Xenopus tropicalis: one gene and its partner. The protein of the gene in region 1 binds, or shares a complex with, the protein of each later gene. Links are inferred from orthologs where the notes say so. Each region holds a gene or a part of one and is shown on either strand. Other genes may lie near its edges. The genes, in order: prelid1 and triap1.

Region 1 (3,132 bases):
AACCCACTTATTGTACAGCGCTGCGGAATATGTTGGCGCTTTATAAATAAATGTTAATAATAATAATATTTATACAAGGGAGCTTGTTTTTTAAGCAGTAAATAGGATGGAAGGGTGGTGGATGAATACTGCAATAAGTTTATTTTTCACAAAATTTGCAACTAAAGCCCATAAGAAAGATATGTACCTATTATTAGTCTTATGGCTTAGGGCTGCTTAAAACAGGACAAAAAAAGGGAGGAAAAAAAGCAAATGGGACATAATGTCACACAAAACTCCAAAAATGGGCTGGACAAAATTATTGGCACCTTTTCAAAATTGTGGATAAATAAGATTGTTTCAAACATGTTAAACTCACCTGGGGCAAGTAACAGGTGTGGGCAATATAAAAATCACACCTAAAAGCAGATAAAAAGGAGAGAAGTTCACTTAGTCTTTGCATTGTGTGTCTGTGTGTGCCACACTAAGCATGGACAACAGAAAGAGGAGAAGAGAACTGTCTTGACTTGAGAACCAAAATTGTGGAAAAATATCAACAATCTCAAGGTTACAAGTCCATCTCCAGAGATCTAGATTTGCCTTTGTCCACAGTGCGCGACATTATCAAGAAGTTTGCAACGCATGGCACTGTAGCTAATCTTCCAGGGCGTGGACGGAAGAGAAAAATTGATGAAAGGTTGCAACGCAGGATAGTCCGGATGGTGGATAAGTAGCCCCAAACAAGTTCCAAAGAAATTCAAGCTGTCCTGCAGGCTCAGGGAGCATCAGTGTCACAGCGAACTATCCGTCATTTAAATGAAATGCTATGGCAGGAGACCCAGGAGGACCCCACTGCTGACACAGAGGCATAAAAAAGCAAGACTACAGTTTGCCAAAATGTACTTGAGTAAGCCACAATCCTTCTGGGAAAACATCTTGTGGACAGATGAGACCAAGATAGAGCTTTTTGGTAAAGCACATCATTCTACTGTTTACCAAAAACAGAATGAGGCCTACAATGAAAAGAACACAGTACCTACAGTGAAATATGGTGGAGGTTCAATTATGTTTTGGGGTTGTCTTTCTGCCTCTGGCACTGGGTGCCTTGAATGTGTGCATGGCATCATGAAATCTGAGGATTACCAAATGATTTTGGGTCGCACTGTAGAGCCCAGTGTCAGAAAGCTGTGTTTGCGTCCGAGATCTTGGGACTTCCAGCAGGACAATGACCCCAAACATACGTCAAAAAGCACCCAGAAATGGATGGCAACAAAGCGCTGGAGAGTTATGAAGTGGCCAGCAATGAGTCCAGATCTAAATCCCATTGAACATCTGTGGAGAGATCTTAAAATTGATGTTGGGAAAATAAGAGATACCTGGAGCAGTTTGCAAAGGAAGAATGGTCCAAAATTCCCAGTGAGAGGTGTAAGAAGCTTATTGATGGTTATAGGAAGCGACTGATTTCAGTTATTATTTCCAAAGGGTGTGCAACCAAATATTAAGTTAAGGGTGCCAATAATTTTGTCTGGCCCATTTTTGGAGTTTTGTGTGACATTATGTCCAATTTGCTTTTTTTCCTCCCTTTTTTGTTCTATTCCAATACACACAAAGGGAATAAACATGTGTATAGCAAAACATGTGTTACTGCAATACTTTTCTGTGAGAAATACTTGATTTTCTGGGGTGCCAACAATTTTGGCCATGACTGTAAAATATAATTTTTTTTTATTTATTTTTTTTTTGCTATAGTATGGTCCTGAAAGGTTGTAACAATTCTTTTTTCTGTTTTGTTTTTTAAGGAGTTTGGTCTCGCTCGTTTTAAAAGTAATGTGACCAAGGCAATGAAGGGCTTTGAATTTATTCTGGGAAAAATGCAAGGTAGGTGGATAAATATAAAGAAGTTTAAAGATACCCAGACTATTGCTACTGCGTAGTTATCTCTTACCCAGTAGCCTTTGTCTCTCTGCAGATAGTTTATGAATAGTTGATTCAAGAATAACTGATTTATTTACTGCACCATCTTAGGTGATGTGCCTCATAGGACCCTTGTTGAAACAGCAAAAGAAGCAACAGAAAAGGCAAAGGAGACTGCACTGGCAGCAAAGGAGAAAGCCAAAGACTTGGCCAGCAAGGCAGCTACAACAAAGAAGCAGCAATATGTTTAAGGGTTTGTTGGCCAAGACCATGGGCCACTCAGTTTCAGGCACCAGAAGCTGGCAATACTGCTGGGTTCATCTATCACCTGAACCAATGTCCATCAAACTAGCATCTTTTGAAATCATATTTCTTTCCTCTAGTTCCTTTCAAATCCAGAAAAAAAAAAAATCTGAAATGTGAATACAATGAATCACAAATTACTCTTTTCTATGCTTTAAGTTATGATTAAATAATTATCTAATTACAATGCCTGGAAGTTTTTTGCTTGCTTGCACCCTCACATATACAGGCTTGGGATCACATAAAAGACTGGGTTTTGTAAAGGTAACTACCTTGTTTTATTTCTCTTTAAATAGCTCTGATATTTTCTTCACCCTGTTGGAGTTTTCTTCATACCCGTCAGTCGCCACATTTAATTGTCATAATTCAAACATACAATAGGGTTGCCTAACCAAGCAGTGTGGTTTGAATGGTTGAAGGAAAAAAAAAAAAAGAGCCCGGATCAAACCCAAGCTAACCATACACTAAAAGATCTGGTTGTTTGTGGAGTTCAGCAAACGAGCAGATCTTTTTCCCGATATGTCCACCCAAGATGGGCGTTATCAGCTTGATCATTTGGTCCACAAGCCAACAATTGGATCACATTGATGGGCTATCGGGGCGAGGACCACATAAACAAGATGATGTGCTTCCTCACCCTGATCTGCCCAACTTTTAGCCAGGTATTGGGTTATACACGTGACAATAAGCTGATTGCAGCTTTTATCAGCCCATGTTGCCCCCCTACAAATAGGGGGAGAACCCACAACCTCCACCACAGACAGTGCCCTGATCTGAAATGTACTCAAGACCCCAGTACTACAATGTCAAGCACCAATACTGCTAGAGGCAATAAACACAAAAAATCCTTTTATAGTTTTAAGCATTTGGGAGTTAGTTGTATGCAGATGCAGGACTCCAGCACCTGCAATTGGAGACAACATTTAACCAGCTACA
Region 2 (2,067 bases), on another chromosome or scaffold:
AATTTACTTCAAAATACAAATAAAAGAGATTAACTAATTGCTACGTGTAACTGCACTGGTGTCACTAAACTAGCCCCACTGTATTCACTACTGTGTGCTAGTAATGTTTATTGAAGAAAAGCAACAGTCTCTGATGTAGTTCTCATATAGATATCATAGGATTAAGTAGGGATCTGAATATTTTCTGATAAATGCCAGTCTATATAGTGTTATATACGAGTATCAAAAAACTTGGTCCAGCAAATCTATACAAGTAATTCCACTATGGTAGGTTTACAAACATACTCCATGGACTCCTTAAGTATATGAAGAATACTCATACTCTTATTGCTCTCAGCACAAATATACATGTTAATCTATGACCTACAAAGGCCAACCATATGATATAGAATAAAATTGCAATGAGGCTGAAAACAGCAACAGGAATAGCAAAAATGAGTTAAAAATACAGTGAAAGAGTAGAATCCGAGGTTGATTTGTTTTGCTAAGGGGGGGCACATAAGGGATATCTTCTGGTTGGACACCCCACTGTACACTGTTTTGCTGCAGTCTGTATTTCTAGTTCAGCGCTGCACCTCGAGATTTAGCAATAAAACCCCTTTACACACCAAGCTTCCCCCTGGCCGGAAATGTGAAGATCAATTTTTACTAATTAATCCCCTGAAGACACCATGTGCTTAACCTTAACCCCCTAAACACACAAATATATATGTATGAAGACAGCAAATACTCGCCGTACAAACTGATTGTTACTTTGTTATTTATTATAAAAGTATTTTTCATTTCTAGGCGTGCAGGGGATATGACGTTATGGGCCCACTCTCTTCCGGGGCCCGCGTTGGGTCAGGAGGAGCCGTCGGATTCTGTTTTTGATTTACTAGGCCCCATAAAGTCCACTCCGTCCACCGGGATGTCCTTGTCCTTAATGGCTTTCTGAATAAAGGAAAGGGTATTAGTGCGCTGCTATAAAATGCCCATGTTATTATCACTATACAGAGTGCATTACCCACCTGAACACAATCTCTATACCGCCTGAAGAGCTCGGTGCACGGATCGCCACTACATTCTCCCTTTAAAAATTTCTCCGCAAACCAGCGGTTGAAGCACTGGTCATACTCCCGCTTCATATCCGTGCATTCCTCACCCACGCTGTTCATGCTGCCCGCAACAAACTCCTGACGAACACAGGTATTTCTTCACCTCGCAAATCTTTCTACGGAGAGCGAGATGCCGCGGCAGCCATCTTGTCCTAGGGCAGAGTCGCGACTGTCATCTTACAACACAAGCACGTCTATTGGCTGAAACCTTTTTTTTTTTTTATAAATGGCCGCCATCACCTCTTCATCAAGGTTACTGGAGAAACGCACGGTGGTGGTTCTAATATGACGTCATATTAAAGAGCCGCGCAAAATGTGGTTCCGAGCGCCGCTCTGCACCGCTTGGATTTCTGGTTTCCGACGTTCGTTGTCGGCGCAGAGTAAGGTATCATTTAGCTTATAATGACACTGCGCGTCAAGGTTTAGTCTAACGAATATCCTTGTACGACGCTGAAGTCGGGATTCTTATGTAGATATACCAGCTCACGGGCTTCCAGCTATTGCTGGACTACAAACTAGTAGAAACCGCTGTTGGGGATTAAGATGTCGCTATTTTCAATTTATAGGTACCGCCTAAACCAACATGGGACCTTCAACCCGAGATCAGAAACCAGGTGCGCACTCATATGCATGATTATAATTTAGTGCATAACTTAATTATGTATTACGGTTTCTCTATGCGCCCCCTACTGTTCATGTGTGCTCTATTCCCAGGTCATGTTAATCAAGAAAAGTATATAAATGTAAAACTACCTCTAAAGACAGACTATATATCACGTACATAATACATTTTACCAATTTTCAGAAACCCCTGATTAGCCTAGACACAATTGACCATCTTGAGCGGCTAGCATTAGTGGATTTCGGAAACGTAGAAGGCGTGCAGCGGCTTGAGAAGGCCATACAGTTTGCTGATCAGCTGCACAATGTCAACACAGAGGGAGTGGAACCTTTATCATCTGTGTTAGAA

Evidence for each region.
Region 2: the proteins of prelid1 (region 1) and triap1 are in contact, whole or in part, in a crystal structure (PDB 6I3V), measured with the Homo sapiens proteins. The link is inferred for Xenopus tropicalis from reciprocal best matches to the Homo sapiens genes PRELID1 and TRIAP1. Residues at the interface, in NP_037369.1 of Homo sapiens: Trp15, Asp16, Phe19, Ala20, Trp23, Gln24, Tyr26, Pro27, Val34, Leu35, Thr36, Glu37, Asp38, Ile39, Val40, His41, Arg42, Val44, Gln48, Lys49, Leu50, Leu51, Ser52, Arg53, Leu55, Thr57, Tyr79, Leu81, Asp83, Ser84; in NP_057483.1 of Homo sapiens: Met1, Asn2, Ser3, Val4, Lys12, Tyr15, Asp16, Phe19, Asn20, Trp22, Phe23, Phe27, Leu28, Gly30, Asp31, Ser32, Phe41, Tyr44, Gln45, Val48, Gln49, Ile52, Ile57, Pro58, Ile59, Leu62, Glu63, Phe64, Met65, Gly66.

Annotation. Positions count from the first base shown.
Region 1 is NC_030679.2:46,173,037-46,176,168, reverse strand, and holds the end of prelid1 (PRELI domain-containing protein 1, mitochondrial), read left to right. Parts: intron 1-1,778; coding exon 1,779-1,857; intron 1,858-2,004; coding exon 2,005-2,144; 3' UTR 2,145-2,373; downstream 2,374-3,132. UniProt on the Homo sapiens protein: Involved in the modulation of the mitochondrial apoptotic pathway by ensuring the accumulation of cardiolipin (CL) in mitochondrial membranes.
Region 2 is NC_030677.2:151,737,991-151,740,057, forward strand, and holds triap1 (TP53-regulated inhibitor of apoptosis 1), read right to left. Parts: upstream 1,205-2,067; 5' UTR 1,158-1,204; coding exon 1,011-1,157; intron 934-1,010; coding exon 844-933; 3' UTR 772-843; downstream 1-771. Other genes in the region: gatc (glutamyl-tRNA(Gln) amidotransferase subunit C, mitochondrial), read left to right, coding at 1,411-1,482, 1,664-1,711, 1,903-2,067. UniProt on the Homo sapiens protein: Involved in the modulation of the mitochondrial apoptotic pathway by ensuring the accumulation of cardiolipin (CL) in mitochondrial membranes.